Linked DNA regions of Anolis sagrei. The main gene of each other region encodes a partner of the protein of the gene in region 2 in a complex. Links are inferred from orthologs where the notes say so. Each region holds a gene or a part of one and is shown on either strand. Other genes may lie near its edges.

Region 1 (7,011 bases), on a different chromosome or scaffold from region 2:
TACATTGTAATCCGCCCTGAGTCCCCTGCGAGGTGAGAAGGGCGGAATATAAATACTGTAAGTAAATAAATAATAGGCCAAAACACCTGGGGACCCACAGGTTGCGAACCACTGCTCTATGAGTATAATTATAATAATAGGTAAGGTAAATGTTTTCCCCTGACATTGAGTCCAGTCGTGTCCAACTCTGGGGACAGTGCTCATTTCCATTTCTAAGCCAAAGAGCCGGCATTGTCCACAGACACCTCCAAGGTCATGCGGCTAGCGTGACTGCATGGAATGCTGTTACCTTCACGCCGAAGCGGTACCTATGGATCTACTCACATTTGCATGTTTTCGAACTGCTAGGTTGACATAAGCTGCAGCTAACAGCGAGAGCTCACACCGCTCCCCAGTTTAACCCACTGCACCACTGGGGACTCCAATAACAATAACACATATATAATAATAATAATAATATTTTGGACAGGAACTATAACTCCCAGAACCCTCTTTATAAAAAGAGAGAGAACTCTCTGGAATCTTTTCCACCCTCTTCCCCCATGCAACCTCTTCCTCTATTACTATATTTTCTAATTCTTGGGGTAACTGTAACTCCCAATCCTCCCCCCAAAAGAATCTCCCTGATAATTTTCTTCTTTTTCCTCTATAATAATTATTAATTAATAATATTTTCTATTTCCAACTCATGGGAGAACTATAACTCCCTGAACTCCCTTAAAAACAGAGAGAACTCCCTGGAATCTTTTTCATCCCCTTCTATAAGTATAATAATAATAATAATAATATATAATTTTTCTACCTTGAACTCTTGGAGGGGAACTATAACTCCCAGAACTCCCTTAAAAAAAGAGCAAGAGAACTCCCTGGAATCTTTTCCACCCTTTTTCCCCATGCAACCTCTTCCTCTATTATTATATATTCTAACTCTTGGGGTAACTTACTCCCAATCCTCCCCCAAAAGAATCTCCCTGAATTTTTTTCCTTTTCTTTTTCCGCTATAATAATTATTAATTAATACTATTTTCTATCTCCAACTCATGGGAGAACTATAACTCCCAGAACTCCCTTTAAAAAGAGAGAGAAAACTCTCTGAAATCTTTTTCTTTCTCCCCCCCCCCATGCAAATTCTTCTTCTATAAGTATAATAATACATAACATTTTTAATCTCCAACTCATTCGGGGGGGGGGGGGAACTATAACTCCTAGAACCCCCCTTTAAAAAAAAGAATTTCTCTGGAATGTTTTTCTTCCTCATCCCCCATGCAACCTCTTCCTCTATTATTATTGCAGTTCCTATCTCTAACTCTTAGGAAAACTATAACTCCCAGTCATCTCCCCAAATTATCTCCCTGGATTTTCTTCTCCTTCCTTTTCCTCTATTATTATTATTATTATTATTATATTTTCTACCTCCAACTCATGGGAGAACTATAACTCCCATACCCCCCCCCCTTAACAAAAAAAACTCCCTGGAATCTTTTTCTTCCTCTTCCCCCCATGCAACCTCTACCTCTATTATTATCATTATTATTATAGTTCCTATATCTAACTCTTGGAAAAACTATACCTCCCACTCTTCCCCCAAAAGAATCTCCCTGGAATTTTGCTTCTTCTTTTATCAATAATAATAAACTTTTTACCTCCAGCTCTTGGGAAAACTATAACTCCCAGAACCCCCTTAAAAAGAGAGAGAGAGAGAGAGAAAAAACTCCCTGGAATCTTTTTCATCCTCTTTCCCCATGCAACTTCTTCCTCTATTATTAGTATTATATTTTCTAACTCTTGGGGGAACTATAACTCCTAATCCTCCCTCAAAAGAATCCCTATGGAATTATTATTATTATCTAACTCTGGGGGAACTATAACTCCCAACCCTCCCCCAAAAGAATCTCTGTGGAATAATTATTATTATATTTTCTAACTCTTGGGGGAATTATTATTACTATTATTCTATTTTCTAATTCTTGGGGAAACTATAACTCCCAACCCTCCCCCAAAAGAATCTCTATGGAATTATTAGTATTATATTTTCTAACTCTTGGGGGAACTAGAACTCCCAACCCTCCCCCAAAAGAATCTCTATGGAATTATTAGTATTATATTTTCTAACTCTTGGGGGAACTAGAACTCCCAACCCTCCCCCAAAAGAATCTCTGTGGAATTATTACTATATTTTCTAACTCTTGGGGGAACTATAACTCCCAATTTTCCCCCAAAATTCTCTGTGGAACTATTAGTATTATTATGTTTTCTAACTCTTGAGGGAACTACAACTCCCAATCTTCCCCCAAAAGAATCTCTATGGAATTATTATTATATTTTCTAACTCTTGGGGGAACTATAACTCTCTCTATTGAATTATTATATTTTCTCACTCTTGGGGGAACTATAACTCCCAATTTTCCCCCAAAATTCTCTGTGGAATTATTAGTATTATTATATTTTCTAACTCTTGAGGGAACTATAACTCCCAATCCTCCCCCAAAAGAATCTCTGTGGAATTATTATTGTATTTTCTAACTCTTGGGGGAACTATAACCCCCAATCTCTGTAGAATTACTACTATTATTATGTTTTCTAACTCTTGGGGGAACTAGAACTCCCAATCCACCCCCAAAAGAATCTCTGTGGAATTATTATCATTATCTTTGGGAGTTTTAGTTTCCCCAAAAGGTGGATTCTGGGAGCTGTATCCCCCCCCCCCCCCCCGAATGGCTTCTCTTCCCGCTTTGCCCAAAAGGAAGATGGCGGCGCCGACGTCAACCCAAGCATTACATCCGGGTATCGCAGCTGTTCCCAAGGCCTCACCGGGGCTTCCGGGTGCAGGCGGCGGAGTTCGGCCTTGAGGCGCCGGACACTCCAGGAGCGCCGGGCGGAGAGAGGCAAGTCCTCGTGGCGTTGCGCGGGGCTCCGGACCAGCAGGGAGACCAGGCCTGAGGCCTCGCCGGGCTCCATGACGGCACAGCACCTTCTCCCTCTCTCCTCCGCCGCCGGTGACGACAGCGTGAAGTCACGCCCAGGAAGGCCCCTTATATAGACTCTGCTTGGCTCCGCCCCCCTCGTTGTTGGCCTTCGCGGATTGGCCAGCGAGGCGGGACGTGGGCCAATCAGCAGCGGAAGGGGCGGGGGGAGAAAGAAAGCGGAAGAAGTGGGCGGGGCCAGAGCCTCAGCAATGTTGCTGTCCATCTCATTGGCATTGGTTGACGTTGTGTAGCCCCATTGGATGGCTGGGAAGATGAGATGGAGACCAGTATAGTCTATTATTACTATTATATAATTATAATATATATTTTAACATGTTTTATATATATATATATATATATATATATAACATGTTAAACACTGCAGGTGTTTATATATTATATTATTATATATATTATATATTATATATATTATATTATTAATAACATTATAGTGAAATATATACTTATCTATTATATTAATATATTAGTACCAATATAATATATATTACATTATATTATTAATAACATTATAATGAAATATATACTTATCATATTAATATATTAGTACCACTATAATAATTATTATATTATATTATATTATATTATATTATTAATAACATTATAGTGAAATATATACTTATCATATTAATATATTAGTACCACTATAATAATTATTATATTATATTACATTATATTATTAATAACATTATAATGAAATATATACTTATCATATTAATATATTAGTACCAATATAATATATATTATATTATATCATATTATTAATAACATTATAGTGAAATATATACTTATCATATTAATATATTAGTACCAATATAATATATATTATATTATATTATATTATTAATAACATTATAGTGAAATATATATTACATTATATTTTTAATAACATTATAGTGAAATATATTACATTATATTATTAATAACATTATAATGAAATATATACTTATATTAATATATTAGTACCAATATAATATATATTATATTATATCATATTATTAATAACATTATAGTGATATATATATTACATTATATTATTAATAACATTATAGTGAAATATATACTTATCATATTAATATATTAGTACCAATATAATATATATTATATTATTAATAACATTATAGTAAAATATATATTACATTATATTAATAACATTATAGTGAAATATATACTTATCATATTAATATATTAGTACCAATATATATTATATTATATTATATTATATTATATTATATTATTAATAACATTATAGTGAAATATATTACATTATATTATTAATAACATTATAGTGAAATATATACTTATCTATTATATTAATATATTAGTACCAATATAATATAATGTATTACATTTAATACATTTCCATTAATAGAAATGTAATAAATATAATAAATATAATAAATTATATAATATAATAACATTGATATTTCACTATAATGTTATTAATAGTATTATATATATAGTAAAAGGTAGTCCCCTGACATTAAGTCCATTCATGTCTGACTCTGGAGGTTGGTGCTCATCTCCATTTCTAAGCCAAAGAGCCGGCGTTGTCCATAGACACCTCCAAGGTCATGTGGCCAGCATGACTGCATGGAGCGCCGTTACCTTCCCGCCGGAGCGGTACCTATTGATCTACTCACATTTGCATGTTTTCAAACTGCTAGGTTGGCAGAAGCTAGGGCTGACAGCGGAAGCTCACGCCGCTCCCTGGAATCGAACGTGAAACCTTTCGGCCAACAAGCTCAGCAGCTCAGTGCTTTAACTCACTGTGCCACCAGTGGCTCCCAATAACATTATAGTGTAATATATATTATATTATATTATATTATATTATATTATTAATAACATTATAGTGAATTATATACTTATCTATTATATTAATATATTAGTACCAATATAATATAATATATTACATTTAATACATTTCTATCAATAGAAATGTAATAAATATAATAAATATAATAAATTATATAATATAATAACATTGATATTTCACTATAATGTTATTAATAGTATTATATATATATATGTACTGTTGTATTGTTATTAATAGTGTTACATAATAAATATATTACATAATATAATAATTATAATTATATATTAGTAATAATAGAATATAACATTATAGTGAAATATATACTTATTATACCTATGATATTAATATATTAGTACCAATATAATATAATATATACAATAATATTAATTATATATAATACTAGCTGTCCCCTGCCATGCGTTGCTGTGGCCCAGACTGTTGATCTGGGAAATAAAGTAATGAGAAAGTGTTGGTTTCTAATATATATAATTATGCTTGTGAGTAAACGGTATTTCTTGTTGTTTCTTTGTCAGTGTTGATGTGGAGAGTGTCTGGTTTGTCTACTCTGAAATATGCAACATACAATTGTCCTTCTTCAGGGGTCCCTTTCAAATCTATGATACTATATCTGTGTGTGAATCGTATCTATCTATATCTATGGCTGGATGGCTCTTTGTCAGGAGCGCTCTGATTCCATTTTCTTGCCCTGGTGAAGAGAGTTGGACTGGATGGCCTTAAGTATTTTCTGTTGGTCATGGGGGTTCTGTGTGGGAAGTTTGCCCCGATTCTGTTGTTCGTGGGGATCAGAATGCTCTTTGATTGTAGGTGAACTGTGAATCCCAGTGACTACAACTCCCAAATGTCAAGGTCTATTTCCCCCAAACTCCACCTGTGTTCATATTTGGGCATATTGAGTGCTTGTGCCAAGTTTGGTCCAGATCCATCATTGTTTGAGTCCACAGTGCTCTCTGGATGACGGTGAACTACAACTCCCAAACTCAAGGTCAATGCCCACCAAACTCTTCCAGTATTTTATGTTGCTCATGGGAGTTTGGTGTGCCAAGTTTGGTTCAATTCCATCGCTGGTGGAGTTCAGAATGCTCTTTGATTGTAGGTGAACTATAAACCCCAGCAACTACAACTCTGAAATGACAAAATCATAATTTTTTGAGTGATGGTCACTCTTTGTGTTGTGAGATGTTTTGTTGCCAAATTTGGTGTGATTTCGTTCATTGGTTCTTTTGTTTTTAAGGTACGCATTATGCACAGAGCATTTATATATATATAGATGGTCATTCGTTGGCCTGATAGATATATTCTGTCTAAATTTGCTGTCAATTCGTCCAGTGGTTTTCAAGTTGCGTTAATCTCACAAACGAACATTACGTTTTTATTTATGTAGATTATGCCTTCCTTGGAAAAGTGAGTTGCTAAAATCTTATTTGGGGCCCCTGTTTAGTCCATTTTGAGCTTTCTTTTGACGGCCTATTTTGCAACTTGCTGCTGCATTGCATCAGTTTGGTCGGGGAGGGGGGAGCCTTTTTCCTCCCTGGAGCCATGCGAAAGAAACACCTGCGCATACAGAGAGAGACCATAAATCACCACTATGGGCAAGGTTTCCTGGGAAATTGCTTCGAGGTTTCAGATAATAGTCTTCAATGCTTTAAAGCAGCTTTGAAACTGCCTTCTATGGCAGTAAAGATCACCTTTGGAAGAGAAAAGCAGGATAATAATAGTAATGATGGCAACCACGTCTGACGACTGACCATAGTGGGAGTTATAGTTCACTTTACAGCCAGAGAGCACACTGAACCTCAACCATGATCCCTCTAGAGCAGGCCTGGGAAAACTTTCTAACTTGGGGGTCGCATGCTAGGAGGACAGGCTGCCCAGTGATGGAAAGAAGGAAGGGGAGGAGGAAGGAAAGAGAGAAGGAAGGATTAAAGGGAAGAAGGGAAGGATTGAAGGAGGAAGAGGGAAGGAAGGATAGACAAAAGGGAAGGAAGGAAGGGTGGGAGGGAGGGAAGGAAGGATGGAAAGAGAAGGAGGGAGAGAGGAACGGAGGAAGGAAAGAGGGAAGGAAGGATGAAAGGGTGGGAAGGAAGGATGGAAGGAGAAAGGGAGAGAGGAAAGGAGGAAGGAAAGAGGGAAGGATGAAAGTGTAGGAGGGAAGGATGGAAGGAGAAAGAGGGAGAGAGGAAAGGAGGA
Region 2 (6,987 bases):
GCTCTATCAGTGTGCACTGCCTCTCAATGAATGAATATCATAAACAAAAAATAAGCAAGTTCTGCACTTGGAATGCTTACCAACAAAAACAGAAACCAAGGACCAACTAAACCTGGCAGAAAGTCTCACTAGCCTAGCATACATTATACCAGCAGCATTTCATGTTTGCAAGTGACAAATGTAACCCAAAGCAGTTTGTTCTTATGATCCAGAGAAGAGGGGAAACTGAATACTGTTTACTCAAGACTATAGATCTGAAAAATGATTCCCAGACACCAGATCTGGATTTCAAACATTTTACAAGTAACTTTCATCGCTCCATTTTCACTATACAATTCTTGATGTCAGGTTTTCATTCACTCATACAATCATTCTTCATACAACAAAAAGGTCCGCATGCCAAGTTGATCAGTTCTCATCACTGGTTGAGAACTGATCACTGCTATTCTTGCACATTTTCTCTGGAGAGTCTTTTTATAGACCTTCTAACTTCTGTTATCTGCATGCATGTGTTGTTTTTACAAACAACTGTAATAATGAACAATGTTTTCTTGTTATCTCTTGTTAAAGTTCCTATATTGACTAGTCCTGTGGCTTTACTTGATTTTTTTTTTTAAAAAGTCAGGAGCGACTTGAGAAACTGCAAGTCGCTTCTGGTATGAGAGAATTGGCCATCTGCAAGGACGTTGCCCAGGGGACGCCTGGATGATTTGATGTTTTTATCATCCTTGTGGGAGGCTTCTCTCATGTCCCTGCATGAGGAGCTGGAGCTGATAGAGGGAGCTCATCCGCCTCTCCCCGGATTCGAACCTGCGACCTGTCGGTCTTCAGTCCTGCTGGGACAGGGGTTTAACCCACTGCGCCACTGGGGGCTCCGCTTTACTTGATAACATGCAGCCATTCTGAAGGTCATACTTCCTCTCTCAGAGAATCCTCACTTTAGTTGTCAATTCACCATATCATCATGCATTGTGCTTCTCAATTTCTTCACAGATACTTTTGTTTCTTCAGCACAAGGGCTCAAGCACACAGGTTGGTCACAAACACTTCCAGCTTGAGATCAAAATACATTCTATTTTGAAATCACAAATGCTGTTGGAACACATGCATTTCCATTTTTATCTTTTTGAATTAAGTCTGATTGTTTTTCTTTACACTAAATATAACAATTATCTCATAATCAACAACAGTACGCTGCAAATCCACACAATGGAGTGTAATAAAACATGCAAGAAAGCTGTAGCTCTTGGCGAGCATTCCTTTAAAATATCATACCAGTGATACGCAGTTAGTACACTCTCCTGGCAGCTATACGCTGTGTTTCTCCATGTTGGAATTGAATTTTAACAAAATCCTTTTTAGTATTCCAAGTATGCGGTTCTAAATGTTTCTTCATTTGTTCATTTTGTAAAAGCAATGTCTTAAATTTTACATTTGTTGTTCATTCGTTCAGTCGTTTCTGACTCTTTGTGACCTCATGGACCAGCCCACGCCAGAGCTCCCTGTCGGCCGTCACCCCCCCCCCCCCCAGCTCCTTCAAGGTCAATCCAGTCACTTCAAGGATCCCAACCATCCATCTTGCCCTTAGTTGGCCCCTTTTCCTTTTTGCTTCCATTTTCCCCAACAACATTGTCTTCTCTAAGCTTTCATTTCTTCTCATGATGTGGCCAAAGTACTTCATCTTTGCCTCTACTATCCTTCCCTCCAATGAGCAGTCGGGCTTTATTTCCTGAAGTATGGACTGGTTGGATCTTCTGGCGGTCCAAGGCACTCTCAGAACTTTCCTCCAACACCACAGTTCAAAAGCATCTATCTTCCTTTGCTCAGTCTTCCCTATGGTCCAGCTCTCGCATCCATAGGTTACTATGGGGAATACCATTGCTTTAACTGTGCGGATCTTTGTTGCCAGTGTGATGTCTCTACTCTTCACTATTTTATCAAGATTGGACATTGCTCTCCTCCCAAGAAGTAAGCGTTTCCTTTATATAATTAGGTCCTACTACTATATTTAAATCTGACATTAATAATTCTAAAATTTTTTTTCTCTTAATCATTTCTGTAGCAGAAATTATATTGTCGAAGGCTTTCATGGCCGGAATCACTGGGTTATTGTATGTTTTTTTCGAGCTATATGGCCATGGTCTAGAGGCATTCTCTCCTGACGTTTTGCCTGCATCTAATCACCTCTCAACAAAAGTTTGCTCCAGGCTCTGTCAGGCCATTATATGCTAATCAAGGTGGACAGTTGAAACGTTCACACCTAGCTCCAGCAGACAAGAGTCCTTTGTCCCACCCTGGTCATTCCACAGATATATAAACCCCTTTTTCCTAGTTCCAACAGACCTCACAACCTTTGAAGATGCTTGCCATAGATGCAGGTGAAACGTCAGGAGTGAATGCCTCTAGACCGTGGCCATATAGCCCGAAAAAACATACAACAACCCAAAAATTATATTTCCTGTCACTAAGTTTTTAATATACGGTAAGTAACATTACAATTACACTCTTGATTTTGTTTATCAAGTTCAATTACAGTTGCATCAGATCTGGGGGCGCATCTGCACTGTAGAATTAACGCAGTTTGAGCCCACATTGAACTGCCCCAGATTAGTGCTATGGAATTATGGGAGTCAGGGGTTTGGGGAGGCAACAGCCCTCTTCAGCAGAGTTAACGACCTTGTGAAACTACAACTCCCAGGATTCCTCAGCATTGAGCCATGGCAGTTCAAGTGATACCAAACTGCGTTAATGCTCCAGTATGGATGACACTTCCCTTCCTCTCTTCCCCATCCAGGTGGGCCTACCTGCCCGGCCATCACTGGCTCGGCCCCGATCTCGATCCCGTACTTCAGCTCGCTGAGCTCCAGCAGGTTCAAGGAACCCAGCGCCTCTCCGCCTCCCAGCGCCGCTGCCCAGAGCAGCAGCAGGAGCGGGCCGCAAAACCTCGAAAGCAGGAACCTGGCCGCCATCTTCCCCGCACGGCCGCCCCCTCCGCCTGTTTCTGCCCTTCCTAGGCAACGGCCACTTCCGCCCTGCCTTCGCGTTCTGACCCAGGGAAGAGAATGGTCCCGGTGAGGTGTCAATTATCGCAGAGGGCGCTTACCATTGGCTGATTCCAAGGGGCGGGGAGAGTGAGGCTTTTCGGTGGGGAAAAAAAACCTGGTAAAACGCCATTGGTTCACTCCTTGGGCCAATCAGGGGAGCGAGCGCTTGCACAAGCCGCGGCTAAAAAAACCTGGTGGAAACCGATTGGCTGAAGTTCAGGCAATCCAAGCAGCCAATCAGAATGGCAAGCGGCTGCCCTACTGGAAAGCTGGCAGAAGGCGAGTGCGCCTACAACACAGAATTAATACAGGGCCCTTCCACACAGCCAAATAACCCAGAATATCAAGGCAGAAAATCCCAAAATATCTGCTTTGAACTGGATTATCTGAGTCCACACTGCCATATATTCCAGTTCGAAGAAGATAGTGTGGGATTTTAGTCAATTGTGTGGAAGGGGCTATAGTTTGATGCTGTTTGACCTTCCCTGGCCGACTTCTGTGACATGGGAGTTGTAGTTTGATGAGACACCAGCGCTCTTTTGGCCAAAAAGGTGTCCTTGGCAAAACTATAAGTTCCCTTATTATAAATTAGATTTGTAATAAGAGGGGGTCATGCTTGGTAACAGGTACTACATTATTTTCTTTTCTCTATATTGACACTTCCATCAACAAGGATCCCCAGTCATTCAAAGATGTCACCACTGACTTTTCTAAGATCTACAGAGACACTCCCTGGAACACCTCAGCAAGCGAGAGTCCAAAAGTGGCAGGCTCAAACCCAGAACCTCAACCAATGGCTGATACCAAATGAGAGACTCCCCCCTGGGCACACAGAGGACTGGGCGACTTGGAAGGCACTGAACAGACAGCGCTCTGGCACCACGAGATGCAGAGCCAACCTTAAGAAATGGGGATACAAAGTGGAATCCATGACATGCGAGTGCGGAGAGGAGCAAACCACAGACCACCTGCTGCAATGCAACCTGAGCCCAGCCGCATGCACCATGGAGGACCTTCTTGCGGCAACACCAGAGGCACTCCAAGTGGCCAGATACTGATCAAAGGACATTTAATCAACTACCAAACTCACACATTTTGTATTTTCTCTGTTTGTTTGCTTTGTTCTGTTAGAAATGTAATATAATTGACTGGCTGCCCTGACATGAGAAATAAATAAATAAAATACCACTGACTTTTTCATCCTTTTGATTACTGCTTTCATGAGATCATATCCAACTGAATTTCTGCATTAACAGTTGTTCGTGCTGAATGAACTACATGCCTGGCTGAATAACAAGTCCATGTGAAAAAGATCTTGGAGTCTTTGTGAACAAAAAGTTGAACATGAGCCAACAATGTGATCATAGAATCATAGAATCAAAGAGTTGGAAGAGACCTCATGGGCCATCCAGTCCAACCCCCTGCCAAGAAGCAGGAATATTACATTCAAATCACCCCTAACAGATGGCCATCCAGCCTCTGTATAAAAGCTTCCAAAGAAAGAGCCTCCACCACACTCCAGGGCAGAGAGTTCCACTGCTGAGCGGCTGTCACAGGAAGTTCTTCCTCATGTATTGTCGAAGGCTTTCATGGCTAGAATCACTAAGTTCTTGTGGTTTTTTGGGGCTATATGGCCATGTTCTAGAGGCATTCCATGTTCTAATGCCTCTAGAACATGGCCATATAGCCCCAAAAAACCCACAAGAACCTAGTTCTTCCTCGTGTTCAGATGGAATCTCCTTTCTTGTAGTTTAAAGCCATTGTTTCACGTCCTAGTCTCCAGGGAAGCAGAAAACAAGCTTGCTCCCTCCTCCCTGTGGCTTCCTCTCACATATTTATATTTGGCTATCATATCTCGTCTCAGCAGGCATGTAGCCGGGGGGGGGGGGGGCTTCAGCCCCTCCCCTCCCCAAAATTCTCATGGTGGTTTGAGAGAAGGCCTTACTGGTACATTATTTAAACTGTTATGTTTATTCATATCATGATCTGATCACCATGCTCAATATATTCCATATGCATGGGGGTATTGGGGTAACGATACAAAAGGTTTGCTAGTTTAGACCCTCTTTCACTTAGACTCAGCCCCCCCCCCCAAACTAAACTCAGCCCCCCCCCCCCCAAACAAAATTCTGGCTACAGGCCTGCTTCTCAGCCTTCTCTTCTTCAGGCTAAACATGCCCAGCTCCTTAAGCCGCTCCTCATAGGGATTGTTCTCCAGACCCTTGACCCTTGATCTCCAGACCCTTGATGCAGCAACTAAAAAGCCAATGGGATTTTGGACTGCATCAAAAGCAGTATAGCATGTAGATCGAGGGAAGTCCTGGTGCCTTTGTATTCTGCTTTGGTTAGACCTCACCTAGAATATTTATTTATTTACTTACTTACTGTATTTGTATACCGCCCCTCGCAGCCTTCCGGTGACTCGAGGTGGTTTACAAGGCAAAATTCAATGCCACCAAAAACACAATTACAAGATAAAAACATTAACATCAATAAAATCATAACAACTCTAATAAAACATAATTCAATAAATACACATTAGAACAATGTCCAGTCCCATCATGTAGTTGTTCCGTTCTTATGTCCGTTACTCAGTATTCGCAAATGCCTGCTCAAATAGCCATGTCTTGAGTTTTTTCTGAAATGCTAGAAGAGAAGAAGCCGATCTGATCTCCCTAGGAAGGGCATTCCATAGCCAAGGGGCCACCACTGAGAAGACCCTGTCTCTCGTCCCCACCAGCCATGCTTGTGATGATGGCGGGACCGAGAGCAGGGCCTCTCCAGACAATCTTAAAGTCCTCGAAGGTTCATAAGGGGAGATGCATTTGGACAGGTAAGATGGGCCAGAACCGTTTAGGGCTTTAAAGGCCAAAGCCAGCACTTTGACTTGCGACTGGTAGCAGACTGGCAGCCAGTGGAGCTGGCGCAACAAGGGGGTTGTATGCTCCCTGAGAGCCGCTCCAGTTAGGAACCTGGCTGCCGTCCATTGGACCAGTTGAAGCTTCCAGACAGTCTTCAAAGGCAACCTCACATAGAGAGCATTGCAGTAGTCTATACAGGATGTAACAAGAGCGTGGACTACGGTGGCCAAGTCAGACTTCCCAAGGTATGGGTGCAGCTGGTGCACAAACATTCAATAGAGATATTGACAAACTGGAACTTGTTCAAATGATCAAAGGTCTGGAGAATATGTCCTATGAGGAGCAGCTTAAAAAGATGGGGATGTTTAACCTGCAGAAGAGAAGACCATGTTTAAATATGTGAAAGGATGTCAGAAGGAAGAGGGAGTAGGCTTGTTTTCTGCTACCCTGAAGACTAGGACTAGGAGCAATGGGTTCAAATGCCAGGAAAGGAGATTCCACCTGAACATTAGGAAGAACTTCCTATCTGTAAGAGCTGTTCAGCAGTGGAACTCTCTGCTTCCAAGTATGGTGAAAGCTCTTTCCTTGGAGGCTTTTAAGCAGAGGCTGGTTGGCCATTTGTCAGGGGTGCTTTGATTGTGCTTTTCCTGCATGGTAGGAGATTGGATTAGCTTCCAACTCTATTATTCTATGACTATGGGGAACACTCTGAATAAAAGATCTTCAAGAAACTCATAGAACATAAACAGTTTGCTATGGATAGTTTATCTGGCATTTGGCAAATGAAATTGCTTATATCCCCTCTGACTTTGACACTAGAATTGGTACAGATGCAGTGAATGTAACTTTGACTCTAACTTGTTGATGATTGCTTTTTAATTTGAGCCACCCAAGAATGTAGACAGATTTCTTTGAGAGATACGAACTGCCATATGTGCGTTAGAGACTTGGCCTTCTTGAGTTATTAAAAAAAGGCTATTCATTTACTAAATAGACGGAGTGGTCAGTGTCATGCTAAAACATGACAGAATTCCAACTTGCCTGAAGAAGGCTGTTATAAGATAGTGGAGACATGGTGCTGG
Region 3 (7,377 bases), on a different chromosome or scaffold from region 2:
CATGGGGAGAGACAGGTAAGAAATAAAATTATTGTTATTGATGCTGTTATTGTTATTATCAAACTACAACTCCCATTACAACACGGCTTGACCCATGGCAGTTCAAACTATATCAAACGACATTAATTCTACAGTCTAGATGTACTCCTCGTGAAATTGCCCACACACACATTAGGAGGTATTGCTAAAAAATTGGGGGGAGCATAGGGGCCCAGGGAACACTTACAAAAAATCTGGAGGCATACTTTGTCTACTCCTTATACCCTGTGGCATAAACCCACCCTTTCACAATACTGCAAGCTGTTGGGTGGGGGGGCGCTCCACAGTTCCTGGCCATTGTGATGCCACGCACACCTAGGGTTCATTTACAGTATACTGCCGAAATAATGCACTTTGACACAATTCTAATCGCCATGGCTCAGTGCTAAAGAACCCAGTAGTTGTAGTTTGGTGAGGCATCAGCACTCCTAGGTAGAGAAGGCTCAAGACCGTATAAAGCTAACTCCCACAATTCCATAGCACTGGGCCATGGCAGTCCAAGTAGTGTCAAACTGTATTAATATTGGAGGCAGATGTCCATTCAAAAACCATTCAGAAACAACACATGCATTCAATGCCTCTTATCAATACTGTTACCAATACCACACAAATTTGTTCCATGAAGCTTGTATTGTAGAGGCATGAAGACGACTTTTGGAATTAAGGTTTTTTTCATATTACTAACTTGTGGAAACTTCTATCTATGTTTTATTATAAACCACTGGAAAACTAGGATACATAGATGGAATCTAAGAAAGTCTAAATAACAAAATCTAGGAACTCAGTAGACGCATTTGACTTTTAACAGTAAACTGTGATGAACCATCAGCACCGGCTTACAAATGGAGCAGCTAAAGCACAAACCTGCAGAGCTCAGGTATTATGACAAACAAACAGACCAAAGTCCTTAGCTTGTTTAGTTGCAAGTGAAAGCAACTGGGCAATATCCACTGACACACTGCCTATGAATAACGAAGCAGGTTCAAAAAGAAAGAGATGAGCGGAAAAAAAAACTGATCTCTGGTTCAAAGCCCCTGGGACTCAAACCACAAACTATTCTGAATTGTATTGCTCTAAAAGCAGATCAATTAATATGGGGATTATTTCTAGAGTGCGTTGATGGTAAATGTTGAAATCTCTCATACTTCTAATCAGGTGGATTAATTATTTATGTTATTTCATGTTTCATTTTTTAAATGCATGAATCTAGGCTAATACTACTGTCATGGAATATTTCAGGGATACTACTTTTTATCAGACTATAGCAAGAACATATAATGTGAAGGAGTTAAAAGAAGAAAATGAGGCATTCTTCATATAGCTCACTGCTGACTTTCTGAAAAGTTATGAAAACTAAACAAAAAAGAGAATGCAGAGTAGATACTCTCGCTATTCTTTGTATTGGACTCCAGTATTGCCCCACTGTAATTTATCCAATGTGCCCACACTGCAACACACCCAGATATTTCTAGATGAGCAGCCTTGTTCAGCTTCAATCCTACACTCAGTTACCAGTGAAAATACATAAAGAGATTACAGAATTGCACTGTGTTTCAACAAGAATCTCCTGTGGCACACTAAACATTAGCAGATGCATTGTGGGTGCCTTCTCTCCTATGTCAACAAACCCTTTGCATCTGTGCAGGTCATGGAGGTTCTGTGTGGGAAGTTTGGCCCAATTCTATTGTTGGTGGGATTCAGAATGCTCTTTGATTGTAGGTGAACTGTGAATCCAAGTGACTACAAATCCCAAATGTCAAGGTCTATTTCCCCCAAACTCCCTCTGTGTTCATATTTGGGCATATTGAGTGCTTGTGCCAAGTTTGGTCCAGATCCATCATTGTTTGAGTCCACAGTGCTCTCTGGATGTAGGTGAACTACAACTCCCAAACTCAAGGTCAATGCCCACCAAACCCTTCCAATGTTTTATGTTGGTCATGGAAGTTCTGTATGCCAAGTTTGGGTCAATTCCATTGTTGATGGAGTTCGGAAAGCTCTTTGATTGTAGGTGAACTATAAATCCCAGCAACTACAAGTCCCAAATGACAAAAATCATAATTTTTTGAGTGATGATCACTCCTTGTGTTGTGAGACGTTTTGTTGCCAAATTTGGTGTGATTTTGTTCATTGGTTTTTTTGTTTTTAAGGTACTCATTATGCACAGAGCATTTATATATATATAGATTATATGTGCATATATATATATATATATATATATATATATATATATTGCAAGCCACTCTGGGTCCCCTTCGGTGTGAGAAGGGCGGCATATAAATGTCGCAAATAAATAAATAATAGTGTACATAAGAACGACATACAGGTTGTGTACCCCTTATCCAAAATGCTCCACAAGTAACCAAATGTGGGGCCTTTCAGATAGGCCCAGTCTGTGTGTTGTTGTTGATGATGGGCCCTCTCCCACTCTGCTCACCTGCGGGCCGGGTGGTTTCCCTGGAGACGCTGCTGGGGGCGGGGCCGGCGCGCGGAGCCGGGGGCGCGTGCCTAGCGGCGGGGGGCGGCGGTTGCCCGGCAACGGGGGCGGGCCTGCCCTCTGGAGCGGCGGTCGCGAGGAGGTAGTAGCAGGTGGGGACGTTGCCGTAGTAACAGCACGCGCCCGGGTTCGGAGATGTGGAGGAGGCCGCGCCCGCCGTCGTCGCCGTCGTCGTCACGGCTCCGGCCATGAGGGCAGCCAGGCCGCTGGTCTGCCAGCTCAGGTAACCGCAGTAGGAGTCCCACAGCCATTGGTGGACGCGCCGGGAATACTCTGCGGCACTGAGGGCTTCCGAGGCGGCAGCAGGAACGGAGGAGGAAGGAGAAGAAGAAGCAGCGCCTGCTCTTCTCCTTCTTTCTCCTCCTCCGCCTCCCTCAGGACCAGCGCCGTCGACAGAAGGCATTTCCGAGGGCTCTGCCATAGCCCCGGCCCTGTCACTGTTTGAGCTGCCCACTGCGCATGCGCGTCCCACGCCCAGGTCCCCGCCCACTGTCCTCTTTTTCCCTCCTGACGCAACCGCCCCGCTGTGACGTCAACATTTCAGGGGCGGGGCTACAGGGAGAGGGCAGAGGTCAGGTTATGGATTGGAATGTCCCACTTCGCTTTGACTCTTGGGAGGCGCATGCGCCACCAAGGAGCTCCCTGTGACGCAGTGGGTTAAACCCATGTGCAGGCAGGACTGCAGACTGACAGGTTGCAGGTTCGAATCCGGGGAGAGCACGGATGAGCTCCTTCTGTTAGCTCTAGCTCCCCATGCGGGGACATGAGAGAAGCCTCCCACAAGGATGGTAAAACATCAAAACATCCGGGCGTCCCTTGGGCAACGCCCTTGCAGACGGCCAATTCTCTCACACCAGAAGCAACTTGAAGTTTCTCAAGTTTTTCCTGACACGAAAAAAAAAATACCTACCAAGAGCCCTTCAGCCAAAACAAAGCGGGCAGAGAGGGAGACTTCTTGGGGGTCACAAATGCTGTATAAGCTTTCAGTTGCTCCAAAACCCTTAACCAGGCAGAAGGTAAATGGAGTAATGGCAAAGGGCAGAACAGGATAGTTTGCATTCAAGCAATAGGTCAGGTCAGTAATTGCTTTGATTGTCAGCTATAATCCTGTTCTCTGATAAAGGTATGTTTTTATTTTGCTGGTGCTCAGTTCAAGCCTAGCTCTATGCCTTTACATTTATTCAAATAGACTACTGTTTTCTGCTTTAGCTCTGCCTATATTGATAGAGTGGCCCTTCGGTATACAGTGCTGATAATGTGTTGTTGTTGTTCATTTGTTCAGTCGTCTCCGACTCTTCGTGACCTCATGGACCAGCCCACGCCAGATCTCCGTCGGCCGTCACCACCCCCAGTTCCTTCAAGGTCATTCTAGTCACTTCAAGGATGCCATCCATCCATCTTGCCCTTGGTCGGCCCCTCTTCTTTTTTCCTTCCACTTTCCCCAGCATAATTGTCTTCTCTAGGCTTTCCTGTCTCCTCATGATGTGGCCAAAGTACTTCAACTTTGTCTCTAGTATCCTTCCCTCCAATGAGCAGCTGGGCTTTATTTCCTGGAGGATGGACTGGTTGGATCTTCTCGTAGTTCAAGGCACTCTCAGAACTTTCCTCCAACACCACAGTTCAAAAGCATCTATCTTCCTTCGCTCAGCCTTCCCTAAGGTCCAGCTCTCACATCCGTAGGTTACTACAGGGAATACCATGGCTTTGACTAGGTGGATCTTTGTTGCCAGTGTGATGTCTCTACTGATAATGTACATACTACATAATTGCATATGTGGTTTTTAGAAGATATATTTGCATTTAAATATAACATGTTTCATTAAATAATTAACGTATTGACAGTGCAATCCCACATGTCTACTCAAATGTAAGCCATACTGAATCCAATGAGATCTTTTACCTACTAATTTGTTTATGCTAAAAGAAATACAGTTCCATTTTAAAAGACTATATAGCAAATGAGCTTGAGTTATTTTCATTTCAAAGGCCTCTTAGATTGCTCTCATGGTTCTGGATTGTATCTTCTAAGATAAGAAAGTATAAATAGGTACCAGGCAGTAATTAAGAAAGAAGAGCCAAATATTGAGAATGTACCCATTTAGCAGGTTGATTTTCAACTATAGTGTTCTAGAGCTCATTTTAATGCTAAAAATCATGCCTGGGGGAGATTTTAGTATGGCAATGCCCCCCTCCCCCCCCAATTATTATTATGAGATGTGAATATATATCTACACACATGGATATGTGAGATTTTTGCAATAATGTAAGGTGTAGATGCAAATAATGCTGACTGTTCTGTTAATTTTCATGAGAAAATCTAGATATTATGCTGGCTTTGTGTTAATTTTGGAAAATACTCCCTAGCACCTTTATTCTGCACAGAGAGAAATAAGAGTTGGATCTCCTCTCTGGTGTGTTTTTCATTGGTCTAAGTGCACTGGGCAAAAACCCCCAACATCATATACAGGATTGCAGCTGGATTCTATATTTTCCAGTCTGTGTTACATTCTTCAGGGAGTTTTGGGGAATTGTTTAATATTCAGTGGCTTTCTGCCACCTGGTGGCAATATAGAATCAGTACCTCAACTTTGGTTGACAAGCAAAAGTCAGATGTACAGCAGTCCCAAAGTTACAAACAAGATAGCTTCTGTACCTTTGTTCTTAGGTTGCATTTGTTTATATGTTGGAATATGCCAAATTTTTAAGTGTAACTCCAGCCAAAAATATCTATTTTTTTTATCTTTGGATGATATAGGGAAGGGTGAACACTCCTATGGTGTTTGCCTTGCTGTCTGTGCCCCTGTTCTCTCTCTGACCATCCTAGCCTTCCTTGGTTCTCTCTTTCCTTCCATTACCAGGCAACCAGTCCTAGCAGGGAGTTCTAGCATGTGGCCCCCAAGTCAGAAAGTTTGCCCATGCCTGGCCTAGATAGTCTGGTGGTCATCTGCAAAACGTCAAAATTGAGTTAGAACAATTCTTCATGAAAATGTGTGTAATGCAATCTCTGCTATTTTTAAAGCACTGTTTCAGGAGCAATCCCACACTCATGAACTTAACTGAGGGTGCATCTACATCTCTTTTAACTGCCGCATCTCACTGGTATGGAGTTATGGGAGGTGGAGCTTTATGAGGTCTTTAGCAATTATGTCAAAGAGTGCTTGTGGGGGAGCATAGGGGCCCATGGGATACTTGTAAACAATCCTGGAGGCATACTTTCGCTAGTCCTTATACTCTGTGGTATAATCCCACCCTTTTACAATAGTTGTTAAGGGGGCTCTACTGGGGATCTCCTGGGCATTGTGATGCAACATACCTAGGGTGAATCTACACTGTAGAAATGATGCATTTTGACATCGTTTTAACTGCTAAAGGATCCAAGCAGTTGTAGTGGTGAGTCATCAGTGCTCCTCAGCAGAGAAGGCTCAAGACCTTATTAATACTTACTAACTCCCATGATTTCATGGCATTGGGCCATGGCAGTTAAAGAGGTATCAGACTGCAGTAATTTTGCAGTATAGATACACCCTAAGACTGTCGGAGCAAGGACCTAACAAAATTTAATTACAAGCTGAATTATACGCTTAGAGCAATAGGCTTTTGTTTCTAGGTTCCTCCTACTGTGAGATCCCAAAACAATACTGTAGTCTTGTTTGAGACTGAAGTTTTGTGTCTTCTCGATTCCACATAATCTGATCTGTTCTTTGACCGGATGCTTTATTGTAAATGTTTATCAGGAAACCCACAAAGGGGCAGGAATCAAGGAGCGCATTCGAAAATATTGAATTTTTAGAAAATCTTAAGACAGGAAGTTCTGGTGTGAATTGCCAGCAAATTGCTGAGAGTGTGGCATATACTGCCAGAAAGTGGAATAAATGAAGACTTTAGCTCCATCTCTTCGCCAACTAACAACTGCTGATTGGCTGGTCTTCTTGCCCTTTCATAGAATCAGAATAATACAGCTGGAAGAGACCACGTGGACCATTTAGTACAACCCCCTGCCATGCAGGATAAAAGCACAATCAAAGCACACCCAACAGATGGCAATCCAGCCTCTGTTTAAAAGCCTCCAAGGATGGAGCTTCATTAGCTCATGAAAACTACCCATGGGATTCTGGGAAGGGGAAGAAGCTAGGGCTGTTCAGAAATAGCATAGACATTTTCACCCAATATTGCAAAGGCCAAACAGTTCCCAGTGCTGTATGTTGGGAGTCCTATTCATAGTAGGGATGGATTTGTTGATGACACCAAATGATAATAATGGCTTTGTTCAGACTTAAAACTAAATATGATTTATCTTTATAAGAAAAAACCATAGTAAAACTTTAAAAAAAAGTGACATACTTCTCACGTGGCCATTATCCTGTAGCATTTAGCTAGTCCTCTCAGCCCTAAATTATAATTAACTTTAATTATTATAATCTGTAATAAAAGTCAACTTCAAATAATAGTTTATGAAACTGGTTTGTTTTAACAAACCCCAGCTGACAACACTTTAGTATTCAGGTAACACGTTAAACTATGATTAATTTAAAATAGAAACAAAATATTGTAATCTTTTTATAGTCACATCAATGGAGCAGTTTTTTCTAATAATGGTAAATTCTTACATCTGAATACAGTCTGTGTATATGAAAACTAGGATTTATTAGTTGTAAAAAAATTACCTAAAGATTTTAAAAAGCTTTCTAATATAGCTCATGAAACTAGACTTATATCTGTATGAAAAATAATATATATGCTTATACAATAAATCATTCCTTCTACAATGTAAACAAGTTACATTTTTATTTTCATTCATGTGATAAGTTTACTATTGAAAAATGGCATGTACTAAAGCCACAACA
Region 4 (7,662 bases), on a different chromosome or scaffold from region 2:
AAACCAACAGTTTGTTTTGTTGCTGTGTGCCTTCAGATCATTTTGAATTAAGGTAAACTTATTGCAGGGATTTCTTGGTAAGATCTGCTCTTCGGCTGAGAAAGTGTGACTTGCTCAAGGTAACCCAGTGGGGTTTCTATGGCTGAGTGGGGATTCAAACCCTGATCTCCAGAGTTGTAGTCCAATGCTCAATCCACTACATCACTAGCGGGCTTTTATCGCTGAGTGAGGACCCCAAACCCTGTGCCCAACACACAAACTACTGGACCATCCTGGCTCTCCTGGGGTCATCACAAGTCAACAGGTCTTTTGATGGGACATATATACACAAACAGCGAAAAGTTGCTACTTGGCTCCACAATCCTTAAAATAAGAAGAAATGAGAAAAAGCATATACAGGCAGTCCCACGTTATGAACAAAATAGGTTCTGTAGGTTTGTTCTTAAGTTGAATTTATGTGTAAGTTGGAACAGATACATTTAGTGTAACTCCAGCCACACACACATATATATACAGGGTGAGGAAGCATAACTTCTTTTTTTCAAAACTTAATAAAACCCATTATATGAATCAGAAAAAAAAATTTATAATGTAGGCGCATACCTAAAGTTTTGTTTTACATAGTTTTGAAGATCAAATTAGGTAGGTGACGTCCCCCATTCTCCATACACTGAGTAAACCAATTTTTGGCATTTGTCATGACTTGCCATCATAGCAGGCGTTATATTGGCAATTTCTTCCTGGATGTTGTTCTTCAAATCTTGTAGGGTCCTTGGACGGTTCACATAAACACGGGATTTCAAAAAGCCCCATAGAAAAAAATCACAAGGGGCCAAATCTGGAGAGTGGGCCGGCCACTGCAAATAAGCTCGAAAAGTAGGCCTCAACGGCAAAAGCATGCTCCTCACTGTTCCAATGCATGATGACAACTGAATTGTGTCAGGACAAAACTTTATATTCCCACCTCTCGAATGAGACCACTAGCACTCCACTACGTCTTCCACCGACTGAATGGCGCGCATTTAAAAAAAGGAAGTTATGTTGCCTCACCCTGTACCTTTGGACAACATAAGGAAGGGTTAACACCCCTGTGGTGTTTGTTTTGCTACCTGTGCTCCTCTTCAGAAGATTTTACCTCATTTCCTCTCCCTGTGAGAATTGGATTTTGAAAAAACATTGGCTTGTTGTGGAAACAAGGACTGGTGAAAAAGTTTCAGTGGAGATACCTTTTCCCCATGATAATAACTCTTTCAGAAGTAATTTCCCTACAGAGGGGTAGATTTATCTCACTTCCTGTTGTTCCAGCCCCATTCTTAACTAGGGAGTTGCTTGTAAGTTGGAATGTTTGTAACTTGGGGACTGCTTGCAAGGGGTTGTCGTCTAAAGCAGAGAGGGTGTGATTCCACCATCAGGTCACCATGACCCAAATGAAAACCATGTCTAATCAACGCCAAAGCTGTGAGGCTGAAGAAAAACGGCGCTCCAGGGTTGAGGTGACTGAAGGTTCCTCTACACCAGGCCTGGGCAAACTTCAGCCCTCTAGCTGTTTTGGACTTCAATTCCCACAATTTCTCGGTTGTTAGGAATTGTAAGAGTTGAAATACAAAACACCTGGAGGGCTGAAGTTTGTCCAGGCCTGCTCTACACTTTAGGATAATAATAATAAACAATTTTATTTCTATCCCGCCCTATCTCCCCGTGGGGATTCAGGGTGGTTTCCAACAAGCAACGGCAAACATTCAAGCTCATACCAACAAAAACACTATCCTGAGAACTTAAGCAAAGACATTACAAGATATTTTTTACAATTCGACAGCTTAATATTAAAATGCAGACTGACACCACTCGAACTTGCTATGGAATGGGTTGCTATGAGTTTTCCGGGCTGTATGGCTATGTTCCAGAAGCATTCTCTCCTGAAGTTTTGTTCACATCTATGGCAGGCATCCTCAGAGGTTGAGGGGTCTGTTGGAAACTAGGATAAGTGAAGTTTATATATCTCTGGAATGTCCACGGTGGGAGAAAGAACTCTCGTCTATCGTCAAAGGCTTTCGTGGTCGGAATCACTGCGGTGTTCTGAATTTTCTGGGCTGTATGGCCATGTTCCAGAAGCATTCTCTCCAGACGTTTCACCTGCATCTATGGCAGGCAGCCTCAGAAGTTGTGAGATCTTGTCAAAGGCTTTCATGGCTGGAATCACTGGGTTATTGTAGGTTTTTCACATTGTTGTAGGTTTTTCGGGCTCTGTGGCCATGTTCAAGAAGCATTCTCCCCTGATGTTTTGCTTGCATCTGTGGCAAAAATCCTCAGAGGATGCTTGCCACAGATGCTGGAGAAACGTCAGGAGGGAATGCTTCTAGAACATGGCCATACAGCCTGATAAACCAACAACCATTCAGTTGTGAGGTCTGTTGGAAACTAGGAAAATTCTTCAACTTTTGTCTGCTTGAGGCAAGTGTGAATGTAGCAAATGGCTATGGAATGCTGGGATTTGTAGTTCCACGAGATGCTTAAGTCTTCCCTGTCAAGGAGGGCTGGTACCTCCCCGAACTACAAATCCCATGATCCCACAGCCATGGCGGTTGGAGTGGTGCTAGACTGCATCCCTTGCCCAGTATAGAGACACGCCAGCGGGGCCAAAGAAGGAGGAGGCGGTGTTGGTGAGGCTCGGTGCTGCGGCCTAGAGGAGGCCTGGCGCCGCGGTCTCGCGTGAGGGCCGAGCCCGCCCTGCCTACACATTCCAGGGGAAACCGGCATCCCCTCCTGCGCTCGGCCCACCCTTCCCCCTTCTGCTCCTCTGCTCACCGGGGCTCTTGAGGTTGTAGCGGGCCTCCATGGCGGCGCCGAGAAGGGTTCCCTTTCCTTCTCTCCCTCCTCCTCCTCGTCTTCTCAGGCGGCGGCGGCGGCAGAGACGAAACCAGGCCACGTCAGGCTCCAGGCTTTGTTTTGACCCGGCAACTGACGAGGCCGGAGGGGGGAGGGGGAGGAGGCCGCGAGGCGGGGCAGTCGCGAGCCCGCCTCCTTCCCTCCTCCCTCACGCTCTGGCCTTGACGTGTCCCTGGCGACCACGCGCATGCGCCCTCAGGCCGGCTTTCCTCCGCCCACACAATGCTTGGGAATCCTGGGAGCTGGAGTTTGCTGAGACAGAGAAGGGGAAAGACATTGCAAACCCACAACTCCCACTCTCCCATAGCATTCAACCACAGCAGTTCCACTGCACCCATTCTCCTGTGAAGACTGCCATCCTGGGCCCAAACTGTGCTTACTATTCCCTACTTGCCTGTGGCAGACAGGACAGCCTACATGTACCAGGGGCGTTCATTAAAGATTTCCCCTGACCCACTTCCTGTGGGTGAAAATTGCTGGAAGAAACATTAACAACCTTCGATATGCAGATGACACCACTTTGATGGCCGAAAGCAGGGAGGAGCTGAGGAGCCTTCTAACCAAGGTGAAAGAAGAAAGTGCAAAAGCTGGGTTGCAGTTAAACATAAAAAAAACCAAGATTATGGCAACAAGAATGATTGACAACTGGGAAATAGAGGGAAAAAACGTGGAGGCCGTGACAGACTTTGTATTTCTAGGTGCAAAGATTACTGCAGGCGCAGACCGGCCAGGAAATCAGGAGACGCTTACTTCTTGGGAGGAGAGCAATGTCCAATCTCGATAAAATAGTGAAGAGTAGAGACATCACACTGGCAACAAAGATCCGCATAGTTAATGCAATGATATTCTCTGTAGTAACCTACGGATGTGAGAGCTGGACCTTAGGGAAGGCTGAGCGAAGGAAGATAGATGCTTTTGAACTGTGGTGTTGGGGGAAAGTGCTGAGAGTGCCTTGGACAGCGAGAAGATCCAACCAGTCCATACTTCAGGAAATAATGCCCGACTGCTCATTGGAGGGAAGGATAGTAGAGGCAAAGATGAAATATTTTGTCCACATCATGAGAAGAAAGGAAACCTTAGAGAAGACAATGATGCTGGGGGAAATGGAAGGAAAAAGGATGAGGGGCCAACCAAGGGCAAGATGGATGGATGGCATCCTTGAAGTGACTGGACTGACCTTGAAGGAGCTGGGGGTGGTGACGACCGACAGGGAGCTCTGGCATGGGCTGGTCAGAAATGACTGAACAAATGAACAACAATAACAAAACGCCTCGGTTGTACAAGTTGACAGGTTTCTCCAAAAGCCACGTTGTGACTTCGGAAATCAGAGTCTCATCGTCTGAAAAATGCTTGCCCTTCAAAAATAACTTCATTGTTTGAAAGAGGTGTGTAATGGAATATCTAATTATAATGTAAGTTTTGAATGTGTTTATTAATGTTGGTATATCGTAAGTGCAGGCCAGCCTTAGCTACAGCTGATTGGTTGATGCGTTGCCATAGTAGCGAAACCTGCAGTAGAAATGTATCCATTTCAGAAGAGCTAGGAGGAAAAAGGGGAGGAGCTAACTGACAACAGAAGAGTCGACATTTTAAAATATGAGCCAGTCTTTAGCAGGTTGAGCTAAAGGGAAGATGTGTCTGGTTGTGTGAGAGCTGGATGATTATAAAGTTTAAGTCTTCAGCCTTGATATTTAAAGTGTTAAAGGAGCCATTCTGAATTGGCTCAAGAGCAGTACATGTGAAAAAGATCTTGGGAGTCCTCATGGACAACAAGTTAAACATGAGCCAACAGTGTGATGCGGCGGCAAAAAAAGCCAATGGGGTTTTGGCCTGCATCAATAGGAGTATAGTGTCTAGGTCCAGGGAGGTCATGCTATCCCTCTATTCTGCCTTGGTTAGATCACACCTGGAATACTGTGTCCAATTCTGGGCACCACAACTGAAGAGAAAAATTGACAAGCTGGAATGTGTCCAGAGAAGGGTGACTAAAATGATCAAGGGTCTGGAGAACAAGCCGTATGAGGAGCAGCTTAAAGAGCTGGGCATAGAAATGATCTCAAACATATCTGTAACTGACTGATAAGTTGTGTACCTGTGTATGCTGAACACATGAAGGTTGTGAGTAAACCAAATATGTTATTTTTTAACCAAAGTCTGTTTTGTCTCTTGAGTGCATAATATAAAACAAGTTGTCTTATGAGAGAGTACATTTTGGGCACTGAAAAATACATCTGAAGAACGGATATTTTTAATGCACTGGCATATTCTCTGTTTCCTAAAAGATCAGAGACAGCAGATCATTCAGTCTAACAATTGAAGCCAAACTGCCTTGCATATTTACATTTGATTGTATACCACTTGAGAAGATTATACTCAAACAGGTTTTTGGCTCTTCTCTAAAAGGTTATGAGCTTTTCAGACATTTCATGTTGGGAGTACATTTTTTAGACAGGCATCATTTTGCGACACATAATTCGGTTTTACCAGCAAAACGTAGGTTAGACCAACTTTGTATAAGAGATACGGACTCATACAAAAATTGTAATAATGAAATTTAGAGATACACAACATATCTCAAGAAAACATTTCATATATATGATTTGTAAGATACGGTAATATAAATTTCCACTTGTCACTTCTCCTTGTAGACACTGCAGCCAACACACAGCTCGAGAACCTCTGATCTAGAAGAGCAAATATTATTACAGTCTCAGTCACAAGAATGATATGGTCTGGTTACATATTATTTGCCCAGATTCAGCTACAAGGGTAGGAAGCAAACCTGGCAGTTGTCAAGTCCTTTGGATTTACAAAACATCTTTGCCAGGACACATGTGTTTTACATGAAATAGCTAGAATCCTTTCTGGCACAATGCAGAGGAGGGATTTGCCAGCAATTAAACAAAAAGGCCTCCCTAGCCAAATCCTCACGCATACTAGGAGGGAATAAGGAAGGCGGCCTAGAATATTAAATTATTGGATGTAAATGCGTACTGCAGCCTACCAACTGCAAAGGGTCATGTCTCCCAGGGTGACTTTTTGCAGTTGGCAAGCAATACCTCTTGGGGTGCAGTTTGACAACACTTTAACTTTCATGGCTCAATGCTTTGTAATCCTGGGAGATGTAGTTTGACAAGGTCTTTAGCCTTCTCTGTCAAAGAGTATTGGTGCCTCCCCAAAACCCCAACCAACAGACTAGATCTTGAAACTCTGGGACCACTCACACCGCTGAATTAGTGTAATTTTACAGATGGGTACAATTCTCATAAAATCATCAATCCCAGAATTCCACAGCAGTTAATATGGCGTCAAACTGCTGCAATTCTACTGTGTGGAAACAGCCTGTTTGCTTCTTTGAGTCAACTCCCATTTTGAAGCAACTGTTCTTTGTTATCTAGTTATTTGTATACTTTATCACTGTTGGTCGGTTCTGCCATAATACTTGCCATTGTGTATACAAGATAGTTCTGCAGGTTTATTCTTAAGTTGAATTTATATGCAAGTTGGAACAGATACATTTTTTAAGAGTAACCCTGGTGATATATATGTGTGTGCTATTCAAAAACTCACACTCTCTGTCTCCCCTTCCCCCCTCTCTTGCTGTGTGTGTGTGTTGGATAGCACAGGGAAGGGTTAACATCCCTGTGGTGTTTGTTTTGCTGCCTGTGGCCCTGTTCAGCAGATTTCCCTTCACTTTCTATCCATGTGATCATTGGATTTTGAAAAATATGGCTTGTTGTGGAAACAAGGATTGTTGATAAAGCTTCAGTGGAGACACCTTTCCCCCATGATAATAACTCTTCCAGGAGGTTGACTTCCCTCACTTCCTATTGTCTCACCCCCGTTCTTCACTACGAGTCATTTGTAAGTCAGATGTTTGTAACTTGGGGACTGCCTGTATTTTGATTCTGCAGTCCTTTTGACCATCATAGCCATTCAGTGGAATGAAAGTTAACTTGATTTAATGACTTTGTTGGATACTTTTGGATTTGCTTTGCACTTTGGGCTTGGAAAAGGTACAAAACTGAGAACCAGCTAGAGGAGTTAACTCTTTTACCAATCTGTTTGCACAGATGTCATTACTGCTGCAATCAGTCACACAGGCACTTTGATTTTAGTTGATTCAGAACAATGTAAACCCTCTGAGTGTCCATCTTCTATTTGCCGTGATCTGGGAAGGATCACATCCTGATGTAGGTGCTGTATATATCCAGCAATTCTTAAGTCTGGGTAGGATTTGTGTGAAGACCCAATTCGATCCTTGGCTGTGAGAGTGTTGGACTCTATCAGAGAAAGGGTTTGAGTGCTTCTCTGCTGTGTACCATCTGCTGCAGCATTTACTGTCAATAATGTTTTATGCTCTAGTGATATTATATGTGCGTGTTTAGTGCTAGAACAGTTGGCGAGGCCGGAAACTACGACCAGTTCCAAAGCAAGACATGTGTTGAATAAATTTCCTCTTTAAATTGTTTTGTTTTGGATATGAGTTATTGGCTCCATTATTGAAGAGACAGGAAGAAGTTGCCTATAAACATTTTTTGGGCGTAAGTGATATCATGGGTACCACTCCTGCAGATATGAGGATCATATGATAATCCCTAATATTATTTTAAAAACAGGATAATAAGAACACCACTTAGAAATGAACTAAGTTCAGCACAATACCAACATTAGGGATGTGGGGTGCTATTTTAAAACTAAATGTTCATGTTCAATGCAGATCCTCCTGATTTGAAAAAAATAGGCAGTTTGAGTATTACTTCAACCATGATATCA

Evidence for each region. The genes of interacting proteins can lie anywhere in the genome.
Region 1: OS9 (region 2) and HERPUD1 share a complex: the UniProt entries of both Homo sapiens proteins name them as parts of the HRD1 complex. The link is inferred for Anolis sagrei from reciprocal best matches to the Homo sapiens genes OS9 and HERPUD1.
Region 3: OS9 (region 2) and FAM8A1 share a complex: the UniProt entries of both Homo sapiens proteins name them as parts of the HRD1 complex. The link is inferred for Anolis sagrei from reciprocal best matches to the Homo sapiens genes OS9 and FAM8A1.
Region 4: OS9 (region 2) and UBE2J1 share a complex: the UniProt entries of both Homo sapiens proteins name them as parts of the HRD1 complex. The link is inferred for Anolis sagrei from reciprocal best matches to the Homo sapiens genes OS9 and UBE2J1.

Annotation. Positions count from the first base shown.
Region 1 is NC_090028.1:6,191,463-6,198,473, forward strand, and holds the start of HERPUD1 (homocysteine-responsive endoplasmic reticulum-resident ubiquitin-like domain member 1 protein), read right to left. Parts: upstream 3,007-7,011; 5' UTR 2,959-3,006; coding exon 2,812-2,958; intron 1-2,811. UniProt on the Homo sapiens protein: Component of the endoplasmic reticulum quality control (ERQC) system also called ER-associated degradation (ERAD) involved in ubiquitin-dependent degradation of misfolded endoplasmic reticulum proteins.
Region 2 is NC_090022.1:186,669,063-186,676,049, reverse strand, and holds the start of OS9 (protein OS-9), read right to left. Parts: upstream 3,022-6,987; 5' UTR 2,970-3,021; coding exon 2,805-2,969; intron 1-2,804. UniProt on the Homo sapiens protein: Lectin component of the HRD1 complex, which functions in endoplasmic reticulum (ER) quality control and ER-associated degradation (ERAD).
Region 3 is NC_090024.1:81,811,924-81,819,300, reverse strand, and holds the start of FAM8A1 (protein FAM8A1), read right to left. Parts: upstream 3,007-7,377; 5' UTR 2,955-3,006; coding exon 2,474-2,954; intron 1-2,473. UniProt on the Homo sapiens protein: Plays a role in the assembly of the HRD1 complex, a complex involved in the ubiquitin-proteasome-dependent process of ER-associated degradation (ERAD).
Region 4 is NC_090021.1:104,920,748-104,928,409, reverse strand, and holds the start of UBE2J1 (ubiquitin-conjugating enzyme E2 J1), read right to left. Parts: upstream 3,007-7,662; 5' UTR 2,837-3,006; coding exon 2,806-2,836; intron 1-2,805. UniProt on the Homo sapiens protein: Catalyzes the covalent attachment of ubiquitin to other proteins. Functions in the selective degradation of misfolded membrane proteins from the endoplasmic reticulum (ERAD) and is essential for cells to recover from ER stress.